4 linked regions of the Arabidopsis thaliana genome follow. The protein of the gene in region 3 purifies or fractionates together with the protein of the main gene of each other region. This does not show direct contact. Each region holds a gene or a part of one and is shown on either strand. Other genes may lie near its edges. The genes, in order: AT1G26880, AT4G18100, AT3G14600 and AT3G28900.

Region 1 (4,324 bases), on a different chromosome or scaffold from region 3:
CGTTTCTGCTAAACACGTCTTCAGATTCGACCTTCTTGGGAGAATTCACGAGCCATATCGACCTCAGCGCAGTGTTGGCCCAAGAGCAATGTCCCCCGCTTGTAAGCCTACCACAGGAGTATCAAGAGACGGGATTCGAAGGAAATGGTATAATGAAGAACATGCGTGGTTCCAATGAAGATCATCTTGGTGATCATTGCGACACACTTCGGTTTGATGATTTCACTTCAACAATTAATGAGAACCATCGTCATCATCAAGACCTGAAACAGAACATGACATTGCTGGAGAGTTATTATTCTTCTTTATCGTCCATCAATAGCGATTTGCCAGCTTGTTTCTCCAGTACAACCTGATGTATGTGGATAGATTTTCCCATCTCTGCCTTCTTGGCTTGCTTTTTTCAAGCTAGGGTATTTCCTCTTTGTAGGCTTTCTCTTTCACTAAATTAAATCGTTTATTAATTATGCTTCCTTGAGTTTTTATTTTTCACAAGCAACTTTGCTTTAATGAAGAAGGCATGAGGTAAGTCAAGATGAACAAGAGAAAAACTGAATCGAGTTTTACTATATTCAAAATAAAGACCAGTAAGTATATTATTTCTGGAGCTGACTTCATTAATCGCATACGAGACTGTCGTTGTAGAATTCCCAAAAATTGAAGCATAGTTAAGATTTAAGACTCAAAATTGCTATTCCATAGTTGTGTCATGACGCTGAGAACATTAAAGTGCAAGCTTGATTTAGCCTCCGAGAGATTCAGAAATATTATATTAACCAAGAAGGTAATCACAACAGCTTATGTGATATGCATCAACAATAGAACATTAAAGATGAATTCAACAATTCCAAAACTGAAGAGAAGAGAATTGTCGACAAAGTTAAGAACTGATAACAGAATACAAAGCTTAAAAATTGGTCGAGTAACATAGATGTCCTCACATGACTGCACCAAGTCCTATCACTTGAACATAGCCATAATTCCAAAACAGAGAAGAATAAAACATAAAAGCTTAAGCCTTGGGGGCTACTTTCTCCTTAGCCTTTTGGAGTTTCAACACTTTCTTCACAATCTTTTGCTCTTCGACAAGGAATGCCCGAATGATCCTGTCGGAATCCAAAAACAACATTACGTTAAAGAACACCAAATTTATTGTAATAGAAAGATGACTCAAGTAAGATGGACAACAAACCTTTCCCTGACTGCAGAACCAGACAAGACTCCACCGTATGCTCGGTTTACAGTCCTCCTGTTTCTTGATAATCTTGACCTCTTGTACTCAGAGGGCCTCAAGTGAGGGATCTGAATAAACAAACAAAGTTATTCACATAATGCAAAAGGAATATGCCATTGCATAATCAAACATATATAGTTGGGAATAAACTGAAAATTTATGCCAAAGGTGGATAGCAAATCCTTATGTAATACAAGGAACAACTTGAAAGACAAAGTGGCACCGACAATTTAGCTTATGATTTATGTTATGTACTGATGTGGGATTTATCTAATCAGCACAAGACCGTCAATAAGCACAATACTATTAACTAAGTAACATGGTTTCTTGAAATAAGAAGACATGCCCATTAAAAATGAGACTGATCAATACTCAAAACATTCTAAAACACTCAATCTGATTGATTTGGTTATACATAGCCATCAAATTCCTAAAAAATTCAAACTCTTAACTCTATCTAGACCTCAAATCAAGACTCTAGATACAAGAACCATGTAAACCAAATCACACGAAGCCAAATCGAAATCAGAAGACTTACTCCTTGAATACGCTTGCCAGTAACAGGACATTTGGGGCCACTAGCTCTCTTCTTTGTGGTTTGATACACCAATTTACCTCCTGAAATCAACAATCCCAACACACATTACACTATGAAGAACAGATCGGTGATTAGAGAATTATGAGACTAAAGCAGAGGAGATTGAAGATATCAAGGAAGAAGAAGAAGAAGAAGAAAGGGACCTGGAGTCTTGACGATACGGTGCTGGTTCGATTTGGTGGCGTAGCTGTGTCGCGACCGGTAAACAAGACGCTGCACCATTTTCGCCTCCTTTTCTCTTTTAGGGTTTTCGTTTGGAACGAAGAATATAAGGGTGAGACTCCAAACCTAAACTAAGACTACAACTATATGGGCCTTTTCTCATTTTGGTCTTTAATTATGCTCCAGTTAAAGGCCCATGTACAAATAATTAAAAAAAATTCAACTTGTAAAAACCAATTCTATTATTAGCTGCAATTAGAATAAGTATCGTTTGTATGTTGTAGTGAACAGAAACTAGAAACATTATTACCAATTTTTATTTTGATTTTTTAAGAAATCATAGATGCATTAAATTATACGTAGAACTTTAAAAAGATTAATTAGTATTATAATCCGTTTAGTCAAAACACATTCAATTTATTTTATCAAATAGTGTAACAACAAAAAATTTAAATTCATGGCACGTAAAAACATAATCGATACATTTACAAGGGCGTGGTGCAAGCAATTAGAGCAAGCCAAGTAGAGAAATTAATCAAGGTTGGCGGCAAAATTGGGAATTGGAAAATAAATTCATCCAAAATAACAAATGGAAATATAAGGACCAGGCTAGAAAATTTGGATTTTCAACAATTTTGTTTGGTTTGATGATTAGATTTTTAAGGGAAAAAACTAACAATTATGTAAGAATGAGAATCGATTGATATATTTTATGTGTGTCTATATTGCAGTTTTACTTTAAAAATTGGGCAACTTTAATTTAGTTTCTTTTTTTATATGCATTAATAATATATATATATATATATATATATATTTTTTTTTTTTTTTCTTTGAACAAATAATAAATATTTGTATAATAATTGTTTTTTTTTGAAAAAAAGCTTTATAATATAGACTCACTTTTGTGTCACAGCCAGCGACGAGAAAAAAGTTCCATTGGCGTCTAGCTAGGTATCCGGTATCCCACATGGCCACATCTATGGGTTGCTTAAGTTGTTGGTCTTTTTTTTGGGATATTATACACGACGATGAGCATATATCAACTGTTCCAGAAACCGAAAGTTGTCAGATAAACGAAACTAGAATCTGTGCTTTTCCTAACGATTTGCTCTTGCAGATCTTGCATCACGTCCCAACAAAAGAGGCAGTCGCCACTTCAATCTTGTCTAAACGATGGCGTTATGTCTGGCCGATGGTGCCTAGACTCGAATTCAAAGAAGATGACAGCGAGAGCGTGGGGTGGTTTATTGAAAAGTCATTGCAACTCCATAAGGCACCGAAACTAGATAGTTTGGTTGTGGAACTCGGTCCACATTGTCCTGTTGACGTAGATGTCGGAAAGTGGGTTGAGAACGTAGTTAATAGAGGTGTGAAAGAGTTAGATTTCAATCTCCTCTGGACCGCAGAACCCACAGGATTTCCTAAGTGCCTTTACACATGCAACACGCTCGTTGATTTAAGTCTATCCAACAAGATTCTAGTGAACGTTTCTTCCCCTGTTCGCCTACCATCTCTCTTAACTCTGAGTCTTCGCTTTGTGGTGTACAAAGACGAAGAATCTCTTGTTAGCCTTTTATCAAGCTCCCCTGTTCTCAACTGCCTGAAGGTGGATCGACATAAGGATGACAACTTGACAAAATTTACCGTGAAAGTATCTACCTTGAAACAGTTACATTATAATACTACTCGGCGGAAGGATGGGGTAGAGGATGAGGAAGACGTGGTAGAGGAAAATGAGGTAGAGGATGATGATGATGTAGATGAGGTAGAGGATGATGAGGAAGGTGTGGTTGAGGAAGTTGACGTAGGTGAGGTAGAGGAGGATGATGATGATGATCTCAATAGATCCTTGGTAATAGATTCCCCTGCATTAGAAATTTTACGCTTACGTAACGTTTTGGACTATTGCTTGATAGAGAATATTTCTTGCCTTCATATAGCAAAACTCGGCTATGTTCATAACCCCGATCACAAGTTTCTGAGATCTCTTTCTTCTGTCATACATATGTACTTGTATTTGACCAAGCCAATGGTACCGATTACATATCTCCGATCCTCTTCTTTTCCTTGTTGCTTAGCCAACTAATGTTATATTTTTTTTTAATCACAGGTTGCGTGGTGTAACACCATCAAGTTCTCTCGGCTCTTGGAGTTTTATTTTGTTCCAAGCAATTTGGTAGATTGGTTGGAACCACTTATGTATTTGCTTCAAAATTCTCCTAAACTACAAATTCTTACGATTGACACTGTAAGTATACCATCCTCCTCCCCTTAAACACAAGTGCATCTAGTTTATAGATGAACTTAACATTATAGCAAATGTATTGATA
Region 2 (3,660 bases), on a different chromosome or scaffold from region 3:
CGAAGAAGCTAAACTGTGATCATCCAACTGTTTTTGATTAAAAAAGAAACCAACTTTATTCTACTTCACCCTTTTGTTGTATTTAGCAGGATCACTAACACAAACTCATTGCCGCTAGAGCCAAAGGAACACACAAGTATCAATTAGTTTAAAAATCGAAACTTTAGCAGGAAGAACAAAAAAAAAAAACTTACCTAGAAGAAATTGTTTTTTGTTTGTTTCTCCCACGAATACAGAAGAAACACTTTCTTATATATGTGTGTATTATATATACACATTGATAAAGAAGAGAGAAATTAAATAAGTTTTTGATTATTCCTGAAATTAGATATTCTTTTGAAAGCATTATTAAAAGAGAGAATCTTTAATTGGATGGAGAAGAGAAGAGTAATGATCGGAACAACGGCGAATGATTGAGTAACAAAGGACCAAGTGGCTCGACATTTTTTACTCCTTTTTCTATTTTTTCCCATTAAATTCAACTATATTTAAACTTCTTTTGGAATCCGAAAAATATATCTGTTTAATTGTTTTTAGTTGATAATACTTAGTCAACTAAAACATTTGACAAAACAAAAAAAATCAGTTTGGCCCGAATTTTTTAATTTTGTGTTTAGATAATCATTGATTAAACATGTTCCATTTATTTAGGGCATCATTTTTTCTATTTTTCTAAATAAATGTAAATTTGAAACCTAAGTGAATTTGGAGACTCCAATGAACCTCTATAAATAAAGAAGAGATCGATTGTTTTAGAGCCAAAACAGACATAATTTAATCAACAAGGCTTTTAATTATGGAGGGCACATCAACATGGATTCTAAACTATGAATCTAAGACTCACATCGTCGATCACAAAAATTCAGGATCCTTCTCAATAAGTATCCAAGGAATTGAGCGGATTCTTATCCGGAGTCCTAGCGGTCGTGAAACTTTGGCTCAACAAAAATCGCTAGGAAAGAAGAATGCAACAGTAAGAATCGCATCCGAGATCCCACCTGTTTTCCTCACCGGAGAAGAAATATGCAGTATATTTGTGGCTAACGTGTTGTCCAAGTCAAAGATCAACAAGTGGATTCAGCAAAGTATTGTTCCTAAAATCTGCGAAGACCTGATTGATATAAGACGCCACCTTGAAGAAGAAGAAAAAGATGGTTTCTTGGTTGAAGTTGAAGTTGTTCTAGAAACGTTGTATAGTGATTGGTTAAGAGTCAATGATTATGACTCTCAAGGTTGTCTAATACCAATAGAAGAAGAGTGCATAATATGTCTAGAAGAGTTAGCATCATCAGGTAGTGAGAGGAGGATCATGAAGTTGCTTTGTTCTCACAGTTTTCATAAAGATTGTATTCTCCCCTGGCTACGCTGCAAGCGATCATGTCCTACTTGTCGTGACGACATCCACAATCGTCGAGCAGAAGAAGACCACCATGAATGATATTTTGTAAAAAGAAATTAAGAAACAAAAAAAGAAAAAGGAAGAAAGAAACAATTCAAGCGTTTCTCGTTTCTGGATTGATAATATGCAAGATGTTTGGTGCTAGATTCTGAGTTAAGAGTTTTGATTTCCTTTGTTGTGTGCTTCCTTAGTCGTCATTGTTTTGACTTGTTTCTCTTGTAGTGTTGTTATTTGCTCTCCATATTTCTTGGCTTAGTTTCCGAGGATATCTTTGTCATCCTTCGACTTAGTTTCCGGGATCATGTATTGATCGTCGGCTTTTTGTATTTCACCTAATATCTCATCAATGAAAATTAATCTTCCAGTGAAAAAAAAAAAACGAAAAATTTTCTTAATTGAAGAAAAAAGTGTATTTTCCTTTTAGTTTAATAAATTAGATTGTTTTCTTAAGAGCATACAATTTCTTTAGTTGAAGGAAAAAACGAAAAGGCCGTGAAAGAAATCTTATTGGGCCACAACGTGAGCCCATTTAGTAATGTAATATCAGAAACCCTAGTGTACGCTTATAAAAGACATTTTAGGTTTGTTCAGCTGTTTTACGGAGTCGCTTTTGAGATATCGATCTTACGAAGAAGCAAATATGGCGGTCCCATTGCTTACCAAGAAGGTTGTGAAGAAGAGGTCTGCTAAGTTCATCAGACCCCAGAGTGACCGTAGAATCACCGTCAAGGTAAACCCTTTTTCTCATTTGATTTCACAGAGTTTTAGGATTTTAGTAGATCAATCTCTGGGTTTTGTTCCTTTAAGTTTTTATTGGTAGCTGTATCTTAAAGTTTGTAGCTTTAGGATGCAATATGGTGGTTGAATTAAACATCTGACATTAGTCTCTATCTATGAAGATATTACATGAAAATGATGATTTTAGCTTGCCTGAGTTCTCTCATGAACAATATTCATTCGATTCCAGATTAGGTTGAGTTTGATTCCAGATTAGTCTCTTATGTCGTTTTTGGAAGAATTGAGCTTTTTGACATGTTTGTGGTGATTTGGTTTGATTTCTTATGTACTTTGTGGTTGGGAAATATTCAGGAAAGCTGGAGGAGGCCAAAGGGTATTGATTCAAGGGTGAGAAGAAAGTTCAAAGGTGTGACTTTGATGCCCAATGTTGGTTACGGATCTGACAAGAAGACTCGTCACTATCTTCCCAATGGATTCAAGAAATTCGTTGTTCACAACACAAGTGAGCTCGAGTTGTTGATGATGCACAACAGGACTTACTGTGCTGAGATTGCTCACAACGTCTCCACTAAGAAGAGAAAGGCAATTGTTGAGAGAGCTTCTCAGCTAGACGTTGTTGTTACCAACAGGCTTGCTAGGCTCCGTAGCCAAGAAGACGAGTGAAGAAGAATCTTGCCTACTACTTAGTTGTTTCTTCTGTTTTGTTGCATTTCCTTTTTGTTATAAGACGATTTTTGATTACTGCTGTGTTTGTGTTTGGAGTGAACAAACATGAGTTTTGGTTTTAGTATGAAACAGATCAAGTTAAGACCTTTTGTTAAAGCTATTTCGGATTCATTACTTGTCAAAGGTTGAGCCTATTTCATCTAGAATTTAATAATTTGTCAGAGGATCTCAATTTAACTTGGTGGATGATTTGAATTGTTCGAGTCTCTCACATTCGGTAGACAAGAAGCGATCAAATTACTAGTAGAGAGCAATCTCGTGTCTCGTTGCTGAAACAATGCATCTATGTACAGTTAAACTTGATTGACTTACAAACACAGCATAACTAAATACAATGTAATTATAGTACACATGAGTTTACAATAAACTCAATGGCTTTTTGGTTCTGACAATTGACCCACACAAACTCTAACAGTAACACCAAAAGTTTTGACCTTTCGTCTACCAAACGATATGCGAGAGAGAGCAACACCATATTTTCATAGTTAAAGAGTGAGTTTTTAGGAGATGGTGAGTCGCGTCATTCCTCAACGGTTCAGGTTCCTTAGTTACAAATTGTGTATACTAATCACTTAAAGAACCAAATCTTTGGACAGAGCTCGTGGGATTTTCAAAAGGTTTAACTTTTCCCCGACGAAATGCCTCAGAGAGATTCTATACTGTGAGAATGTAGAAGAGACGCGTAAATTTGGAGTTTACGTTTTGCTTGTCGTTTACACTACACGTCAGCTCAAACGTCTTTGTATGAAAGACTACTTAAGTACAAACATATAGAAAGTCTCTCTCTCTCTCTGAAA
Region 3 (4,199 bases):
TAATAAGAAGCATCCAGCAAAACCGAAATCTTGGTTCACCACCGTCTCCAGATCAAAGAAAACAGAGAAACATCTGTTTTTTTGTTTAGTTTGATCTGTTGAGAGATGACGAGCGGTGGCGACGATAAAAACAGATCTGTGGTGACAGATCATCAACATCAACAACAGCCTCCTCCTCCGTTTCAAGGCGTCTCTAACTATCCACCGCAGCAGCAGCCTCCCGCCACCGGTTATCCTCAGCCTGCTCAGCCCTACGCCCAAGGTTTCTTTCTTTCCTCATCTCTCATTATATGGACAACATCATCAAAGCTGTCGTTTTGTTTTGTTTTGTGTTTTGTTTGGTATAGAAGCTTCATTTTATTCTTGATCCATTATATCGAAGATCCTTTTTGATCAACTTTTTACCTCATCTAAGATGCTAAGATTCGCATTGGATTAAAATTTGATTATTTGAAAATTCGAGTGATCCAGTAATTAGAGAGAAATTGTATATTGCCTCTTCTATGATATAAATCAAGATGCTAGATTCACTTGAGAATAATGACATGAAGAAATGAATCTTTTTTATAAAAAAAAAAATCAGGTTTTTGAAATAGATAATGCAAATAGAAGGTTCTCTTTTGGCGTTTACGTCTTACAATTTGACAAATGATTTTTTTGCTTAGTATTTTGAACATTGTGGATTCATTTGGAAACAAACATCAGAATCTCTTATCTCATCTGCCAAAATTTCTAGCTAAACTGTAGTTTCTCAAAAGGATTGTATCATTATTGCAACGTACACACACCACTTGGCTGTTCTAAAGCTCGTTTTGGTTATCTCTAGTTTTCATCAACTATAGTCTTTGGTCGCAGGTTATGTTGTTAATGGAGTAAGACCAACAGAACACGGTCGTTGTTGCGGTATCGGCATTGGCTGGGTATTGTAAGTGATCTTTATCATTTATTTTTACCTAACTTCTCTTCTCATTACATTCTTGATAATTTTTGAGAGTTTTTTTTGGTTTGATGTGTCTTGAAGATTCATCCTTGGTTTCTTCTTCGCTTTGCCCTGGTACATCGGTTTCTTCCTTCTATTATTCTCTAGGAACCCGCGTGAGAGACCAGGATATATAGCTTGCGCAGTTGGGGTAAGTCCACTACTCTATATATCTCTCTCACTCAACAAGAACCATTTCTCTTTTCTTTATCACAAATATAAATCAATTCTGACTAACCCTTCCTTTTCGCAGGCTGTTTTTGCTACCATTATCGTCATCTTTGGAACCGTAAGAGGATCAGGGGTGTGGTCATGAAGGTGAAGATGTCAACAATCTGAATCCGTTGAGATTTTGTTTCAGAAGAAGATCGATCCATAATGTTTGTTTACATAATGTGTATTGTCTCTAGATTACAAAACAGTACTGTATATGTTTCTTTGAAAAGTTCTTCTTCTGAAAACATACTAGTGTTTGCATTTTCAAAGAATTTTTTTTATATAAAAAATTTGCATTTGTTTAGATGATACGAATTCAAATGAATCTGATTATAAGCTCATTTAGTAAATGTGTTTGACCTGAACCACTGACTCATAAAAACACTTGAGCTCATTTGACCGGCGACAGTAAAAAAGTAAATTTAATTTACCCGATTTACCCGCTGCAAATATTTTTGTAACGCCAATGTAATGAGAAGAATAATTAAAGGCCCAAGTAGGAAAAAGAAAAGCCCACAGAGACGGCCCCTAGGGTTTGTCCTTTAGAGAAACCTCTTTTATAGTTTTCTCATGAGCGCCACCGTTTAGCTCTTTTCTCTCTGTTTTGCTCTTGGCTGATTCGTTGGAGCTTGATCTCTCCGTGGAAATGGGTGGTTTCCGGGTAAGTTACTTCTTTAGTCTGTGTATAGGATACGTGATTCTGGGTATTTGGACTTCTGAAGATTTGATTTGGAGAATCATCAACTGTGCTCGGTCGGGGATAGTGTATTATAAGGATAAATAGGTTCTGATTCGCTTAGAAAGTATGAAACTTTTTCTATGTGCATCCGTTAAATTAATATGAATTTGAAGTGTTTATTTCCGGATTTGGTTTGTTCTGTATGAATCTCTAGGATGATTGTTTTAGTGCTTAATGTCTTCTAAAATGATCATTGTGAATCATTTTAAGCTTCATTAGCTATCCTTAGGCCCAGAGATCGGTGTTGTCTTGTGACTCACTGAGAGAGTTGATATGATGTAAGGATTAGGGTCTGGTGCTGTTTAAGGTTTTACCAAAGCTGATATTTTTGTTGGTTTGTGATTAATTGATTCAATGTACATTGCAGTTTCACCAGTATCAGGTGGTTGGGAGAGCCCTCCCGACAGAGAACGATGAGCACCCTAAGATCTACAGGATGAAGCTTTGGGGTAGAAATGAAGTATGCGCCAAGTCCAAGTTCTGGTGAGCCATTCGATTTGATACCAGTTTGTTAATGTAAACTCCATTTTGTCTTGTTTATTTCCTGATCTAAAATGGATTTGCTCGTTGTATCTAGGTACTTCATGAGGAAACTGAAGAAGGTGAAGAAAAGCAACGGACAGATGCTTGCCATCAATGAGGTATGGATTGCATTTTACTTAGATATCTTAGATATGCTGAAAGATGGCTACTTGTATCTGATCTTGTTGTTCTACTTTATTATAGATTTTCGAGAAGAACCCAACGACCATCAAGAACTACGGGATCTGGTTGCGTTATCAGAGCCGAACTGGGTACCACAACATGTACAAGGAGTACCGTGACACAACACTCAATGGTGGAGTGGAGCAGATGTACACTGAGATGGCTTCTCGTCATAGAGTGAGGTTCCCTTGCATTCAGATCATCAAGACTGCGACTGTCCCTGCAAAGCTTTGCAAGAGAGAGATCACCAAGCAGTTCCATAACTCGAAGATCAAGTTCCCTCTTGTTTTCAGGAAGGTCAGACCACCAAGCAGGAAGCTTAAGACTACATACAAGGCATCAAAACCTAACCTTTTCATGTAGAAGCAACCGACATGATTCTCATCAGAATAGGCTTCTTGTTCCTAGTCTGAACAAAACACTGGAGTTATCTTCTTTTGAACATTTTTCAACTTTTTTTTTGTTCTAGATATGATACAATATTAAGGTGACTCATCTCCAATTTTCGTCAGTTTCCAAAGTTTTGCTGCTTTAGTGTAATGTTGCAGAAAGTTCAAAACTGTACTATCTCCCACTATCATAAACCAATCTGCTTTGTATGCCAACGACCACTAAACTAGCAACACTTCATTCTCATTCTTGTATGAAACTATTCTCGCAATTCCATAAATGTCTTCATCTGCAGTCTGGTTTATGCTACATGTCCCCGGAGCTCTCGGCGTCTGACACACACTTCACCCAAAAAGGATTGAGAGCAGTTCAATTCATCATGCTCAGTGGATCACTTTTCATGATTTATCGATTAAAAAAATTGCAAGTAGACGAGAACAGATGGAAAACTCTTACACGCAAGTACACAGAAAAAGCCCCTTTTCCGGCAAAGGATTTGGAGTGTAACTTGTATAATCAAAACTCCAGTGACAGCCAAAAAGTCTCAATCTTTATAAAGACCCACAAAAACTTGCGGACTCCAGAGTGAGTGTGAGAATCGGAGATGTCTTTTTCAGTAGTAGCAGCTTTACCGGTGCTTGTAGCAGTAGTGGTACTGTGGACATGGCGGATCGTGAAGTGGGTCTGGATAAAACCAAAGATGCTTGAGAGTTCTTTGAAAAGACAGGGTCTTACCGGAACTCCTTACACTCCTCTCGTCGGAGATATAAAGAGGAATGTTGATATGATGATGGAAGCGAGATCTAAACCCATCAATGTAACGGATGATATCACCCCACGTCTCCTTCCTCTTGCCTTAAAGATGCTCAATTCTCACGGTATAGTGTCTTTTCTTTCTTTGTTTCAGCAGAGTTGGGAAGTGAATTGTGTAGAATTTAGTTTGACTTGAGATCTCTGTTAGGTTGAATTGTTGGTGCTTGATTGAGTTATGTTGGTGGAACAGGAAAGACTTTCTTCATATGGATTGGACCACTTCCAACGATTGTGATAACGAATCCTGAGCAGATCAAGGAAGTCTTTAATAAAGTCAACGACTTTGAGAAAGCTTCTACATTCCCTTTGATCAGATTGTTAGCAGGTGGGCTTGCAAGTTACAAGGGAGATAAATGG
Region 4 (5,168 bases), 6.0 Mb from region 3:
AGATATCAACAGAACACTAAGCACCAACCTGCAGTCCATAGCCAATAAGTGGGATGAGTATACATTGGAGGCAATAGAATAGCCATCAACAGAATGACAATGCAAGGATATCAAAAGAACACTAAGCACTAACATGCAGCCCACTCGAAGTATTCAATGCAGAATCAGACTGAAGGCAACAAAACTTTATCTTTCTATACTTTATAGAATTAACCCAAGAATCCTTCTCTCACTTCAATCATCCCCTGAGTATATTGAATTTCATTACAACGAGATTTTAACCCGCGGTACACCACGAGGCTATATTCTTTTTTAAAAATAAAAATTTAACTTGTTTAGTAGATTTAAAATATATATGATTTAATTTGCTGTACTTTTAAAATGTACAACTCTTATATCTTACTATGTTTAATTTTTACTGTTTAAAAGTATAAGAAAAATAAAATACAGTTAATTAAGTTAAAATCTAGATTATAACTAAATAATTCAAATTTAAATTATATTTGTTTTATTAATATTTTTATTTTTTTAGTGTTTAAGATAATATAATTGTATTTTAATTTTTATATCTAAGATTTCACCTATGGTACACCGTCTTGTATTACTATCGACCTAAACCCGTCATATCATCTAATCTCGTTCAGTGAAATCAAACATATCTAATGGATTTCACATGTGGTTTAGCGTCTCGTATTTTATCGATCCAAACTCGTCTTACCATCTAACCCGTTCAATGAAATTAAACTTTATTTTGTTATTTTTGTTTTAATAATACTTTAATTGAAAAATATATAATTTAAATCAATTTAATTGTTTTTAGTTCAAATGGTTATTAAATTGTATAAAAGTTCATATATTATAAATATTATAAACCCGTCCTACCATCTAATCCCGTTCGGTGAAATTAAAAACTATTTTTTTGTTTTTTGTTTAAATAATACTTTTATTAAAAAAAATATAATTCAAATGAATTTAAAAGTTTTTTCAAACAATTATATAAATTTTATAGATTTTACATATTATAAATATTCTAAACGTTTATTCTGTTAAATATTTTAAATGTTTAATTAACTACAATATTTTATTTTTTAATCAAGTATATATTAATAATGTCCTAAAATTTCTCATTTTTTAAGTAATTATAATTAATGGAGATATATTAGATAAGAAAATGCTACTAATTAGGAATATTAATGTCAATGGCATTCCGTGTAAATAAGTTCCAACTCGAGGATTTATTTCATAAAATGACTGCAAAAATGTATATGTAGATAGTGAGAAGTAACCAAAGCTAACAAATGTTCCAGAATATGATCCTTCCCTTACATGAAACATCTCTTACAAGAAAATTCTTCAATCCACAATTTACTGCTTTTATCTACCAAATCCTCAAATCCATTACAATAAACCTAATCCCATGAATACTATATTTTGTTTTGATTAGGTTTAAAAGGAATAAACTAACCTCAAGGTCGTACCTATGCACATTGTTTCCGGCCGACGCTTCTCCATCCTCTGCCTCTATAAATCATAAAGCTCCTCTAACGATGCTCTCGATTTCACATTCTTCTCGCCGTTCTCCGTGATTTTGCTTCTTCACTAAAGGATCGTCTATGATTGAGTCTTCGATCAACAATTTAATCACACTGGATTTTAGTCCCAATCAATGTAATCAGAGAAATCTCCGACCTAATCGCTATCGCCAAAAAGACTGTTTTTTTTCTTTCTTGTTTTGTCAAAGAATCGTTTTTTTCTTCTTCTTGTTTTGTCAAAAAATCGGGCAAAACATGACACGTAATAGTCTCTTTTGCTTTTCAAAATCTATCTCAAGAGAGACAGCTCTCTCAAAAAATAAATCATTCTGATATATTTTTTCCAACTTAAAAACATAGAACCTATGAAGAAAGCTTCATTTTTACATTGGAGATGCTCTAAGTGTTTTTTTACGTGTTTCTTTACCAACACAAAATGCAAATATAGAAACTATTGATTAATACACAAATTAAAGAAAAAAAGAAAAAGATAAAAAACACTACAATCAATCTGAGCCGTCGAATCGTAAGCTCACTACATCCATTAGATCTAGGGCTCAAGAGATCACCTCCATATATAAACTCGTATCAATACATTTTATCCCCTTTGGCCGACTCTTACTGACCTCAGAGCTCAGCAAAAATGGTTCAACGTCTTGTTTACCGATCACGTCACTCTTACGCCACCAAGTCCAACCAACACCGCATCGTCAAAACTCCTGGTAATGTACTAAAAGCTCTCTAATGTCTCTTTGTAGTGACTCTTGAAAGATCATTGAAATTTTGGGATCTAGTTTTTGTTGAAAATTTGGGGTTATTTGGCTTAAAGGTGGAAAATTGACTTACCAGACGACGAACAAGAGAGCTAGTGGACCTAAGTGCCCTGTTACTGGCAAGAGAATCCAAGGGGTAATCTTTTCTATTCAATTTCAAAAAAGTTGGTGAATTTTGCTGTTAGGGTTCGTGTTTTGAGTTTAGTTAGATTCTCTGGATCAAGAAATTGTGCATTTTGCTGTTAGGGTTCGTGTTTTGAGTTTAGTTTGATTCTCTGTTTCAAGAAAGTTTGTGTCTTTTGGTGTTAGGGTTCGTGTTTGAGTTTAATTTGACTGACTGTTTCAAATTCGGTTCATGTCTCTTGTGGTGCTAGCTGTTTTCTTTAGTATATTTGGATAAAAGTTTGTAAATGTTGGTGTTAGTGTACGTGTTTATGTGTAGTGGACAACAATGTTTGTATAAACTTGTCGCCTCTAAAGCCACAAGGGATAAAAGTTAAAATTGATCTAGACTTGTCGTAATATATTTATACTTCATGTCCATTTCAGCCAGTTCTTACCTTGACTTGATGATAGCCTGCTCTTAAAGATATGCAAGTTTGGTTCATGTCCCTTGTGGTCTATTAGCTGCTTTCTGGTTCGTGTTTATGTTTCTGTTTACGAATAATGTGTCTTGGAGACCAAGGGTTACACATTGGTTATTTTGGCATTGAGACCAAATTTGGAACTTAAATTAAAACATAGACACTTTAGGGATTGAATTCAAGAATTTTGTTGGTTGAAGGCTTTCCTTAAGTTGGTAAAATGGTGAAAAATATCTTACTTTCATGCCCATTGATATAGAGAAACAAAGTTTACATGGTTACTCGACTTAGTATTCCTTTCAGCTAATTCTAACAATAACTTGATAGCCTGAATTTAAGTTGAGCATCATTTGGCTTTCTCTGTTCCTATTGTGTTTGTCGAAGACTAGTACCTGGTATATAATGAGTTGGTAGTTACTTGGATCAGCCCCTGGTTCTTATCGAATAATCAAGGGTTACTCATATGCTTAATCTCAATAGAACCTCAAAAACACATTCCTTTTTTTGAATTAGCATGGTTTCTTAAGCTTTACTTTCTATGTTTGTTTTCTGCAGATTCCGCATTTGAGACCTGCTGAGTACAAAAGGTCAAGGTTGGCAAGGAACGAGAGGACAGTGAATCGTGCATATGGTGGTGTTCTATCTGGAGTTGCTGTTAGGGAGAGGTAAGTGTATTGTAAAGACCTCTTAAAAATTGGTTTCTTTAGAGTATTGCAACTAATCTTACTCTTTTCTCTGTTCCAGGATCGTCAGGGCCTTCTTGGTTGAAGAACAGAAGATTGTGAAGAAGGTTTTGAAGCTTCAGAAGGCGAAAGAGAAGACTGCACCAAAGAGTTAGAAGAAAACTTTTTGGAGTCTTATAAGATCTATGGAGAAACTTATTTTGTAGGGATCGATAGACATGAGTTTTTGTTCACGAAAAAAAGAGGCAAATGTTTGTTTTTTGATAATTTCTGAGTTCTGTTTTGTTCTCCATTCAGATTTTACTTTCTCAAAGTGTCTCCGTTTGTGTTCATTGGTCTTTTTTTTTTTCACTGGAAATATAGATTTCATTGATAGAAGATCTGAGTACAAGAGCTGACAAGAGAAATACTCTTCCAGAGGCTAAGTCGGAGAGTACATGGAACCTCCCGGGGACTAAAAACATATTAAAATGAAACAAGGGAAAAAAACCCGATCCAACAAATTACACCACATCTGATCCCTTTACTCTACCTAAACACGCATGGGTGGTGAGATAAAACCAACATTCAAAGACCCGAAGGAGTGAGAGCCTTATAAAGGAGAGAACGAGATCGGGATCTTCAGGTGAAATTTCAGAAGTCTGAGGCGAAAATTCGGATAGAAACGTCTCTGCCTTGGATAGATTGGCCATATCTGACTCTGCTCTTGAAAAAGACAAAAGACAAGCAGCAAAAACCTAGAAAGGAAAAGTTTTAGACTTTATATATCTAGATCTGAAAATTCAGATTCAAAACCGTTGGAAGAAAATCTCTCAGATGTGTCTAAAGAGAAAATAAAACAAAGGTAGAATAAGAGCAAAACAAAAGACCCCGGTTCCGGTGCTGAGAAAGCCACCGGAACCGGTAACCCTAAATACAGGCGGCGGCTGGAGTTTTAGAGAAAAGGGAGAGTAAAATTCTAAGAGAGAGAAAAGGGCGAACCGAAAAGTTTGTGTTCATTTGTCTATTGGTATAATTCTTGCCGATATTTGTCAACAAGATTTTTAAAAAGTTTATATATATATATATAACTAATAAAAATATTAAAAATGGAGAGTGTCTTTAATTTTAGATTTGAGTCTCTTGAGACACCAAAAAGAGTGACTTTTGTGTCTTTAAATTTATTATTAATCTATGCTAAAGATACCCATCAATTCCAAAAATTGTCTAATGAGGATGCTCTATGTTCCACATAAAAATTTATATTTGAAAAATGTTTTTCTATTTCCTTATAGAAAAAACAAATAAAACAAATAAAATTTGTTTTATTTTAACATCTAATTTTATATAGAAATAAACGGCAAACAAGCTCTTCTTCAAAAATAATATATAAACTAGATTTTATCCCGCGGTATACCGCGGTGACAATTTATCTTTTTAAAGTTAGTATAATTTTTTTTTTGCAAATTGTATCTATCTATAATATATTTTTATTTTATAGTTTACAATTGTTATTAAGTATCGTCCTGCCAAACCCATCCCGCCAAACCCGTCCCGTAAAAAACCATTTATTTATATTAATGTTGATCTTATTTATGATATGTTTATAAATCATTT

The links.
Region 1: the proteins of AT3G14600 (region 3) and AT1G26880 fractionate together in Arabidopsis thaliana (co-fractionation; one large-scale study listed by BioGRID). This does not show direct contact.
Region 2: the proteins of AT3G14600 (region 3) and AT4G18100 fractionate together in Arabidopsis thaliana (co-fractionation; one large-scale study listed by BioGRID). This does not show direct contact.
Region 4: the proteins of AT3G14600 (region 3) and AT3G28900 fractionate together in Arabidopsis thaliana (co-fractionation; one large-scale study listed by BioGRID). This does not show direct contact.

What each region holds. Positions count from the first base shown.
Region 1 is NC_003070.9:9,314,628-9,318,951, forward strand, and holds AT1G26880 (Ribosomal protein L34e superfamily protein), read right to left. Parts: upstream 2,254-4,324; 5' UTR 2,055-2,253; coding exon 1,976-2,054; intron 1,853-1,975; coding exon 1,773-1,852; intron 1,535-1,772; exon of another isoform or gene 1,388-1,534; intron 1,303-1,387; coding exon 1,193-1,302; coding exon of another isoform or gene 1,171-1,192; exon of another isoform or gene 1,107-1,170; coding exon 1,013-1,106; 3' UTR 678-1,012; downstream 1-677. Other genes in the region: FEZ (NAC (No Apical Meristem) domain transcriptional regulator superfamily protein), read left to right, coding at 1-356; AT1G26890 (FBD, F-box and Leucine Rich Repeat domains containing protein), read left to right, coding at 2,962-3,750, 3,817-4,026, 4,105-4,242.
Region 2 is NC_003075.7:10,034,855-10,038,514, reverse strand, and holds AT4G18100 (Ribosomal protein L32e), read left to right. Parts: upstream 1-1,867; 5' UTR 1,868-2,039; coding exon 2,040-2,129; intron 2,130-2,488; coding exon 2,489-2,800; 3' UTR 2,801-3,047; downstream 3,048-3,660. Other genes in the region: AT4G18110 (RING/U-box superfamily protein), read left to right, coding at 797-1,438.
Region 3 is NC_003074.8:4,908,932-4,913,130, forward strand, and holds AT3G14600 (Ribosomal protein L18ae/LX family protein), read left to right. Parts: upstream 1-1,697; 5' UTR 1,698-1,841; coding exon 1,842-1,856; intron 1,857-2,301; coding exon 2,302-2,417; intron 2,418-2,511; coding exon 2,512-2,575; intron 2,576-2,660; coding exon 2,661-3,002; 3' UTR 3,003-3,358; downstream 3,359-4,199. Other genes in the region: AT3G14595 (Ribosomal protein L18ae family), read left to right, coding at 106-262, 856-925, 1,022-1,130, 1,233-1,295; CYP72A7 (cytochrome P450, family 72, subfamily A, polypeptide 7), read left to right, coding at 3,634-3,907, 4,033-4,199.
Region 4 is NC_003074.8:10,901,423-10,906,590, reverse strand, and holds AT3G28900 (Ribosomal protein L34e superfamily protein), read left to right. Parts: upstream 1-2,132; 5' UTR 2,133-2,175; coding exon 2,176-2,254; intron 2,255-2,361; coding exon 2,362-2,441; intron 2,442-3,444; coding exon 3,445-3,554; intron 3,555-3,633; coding exon 3,634-3,727; 3' UTR 3,728-4,075; coding exon of another isoform or gene 4,076-4,264; 3' UTR 4,265-4,588; downstream 4,589-5,168. Other genes in the region: AT3G28899 (uncharacterized protein), read right to left, coding at 4,076-4,264.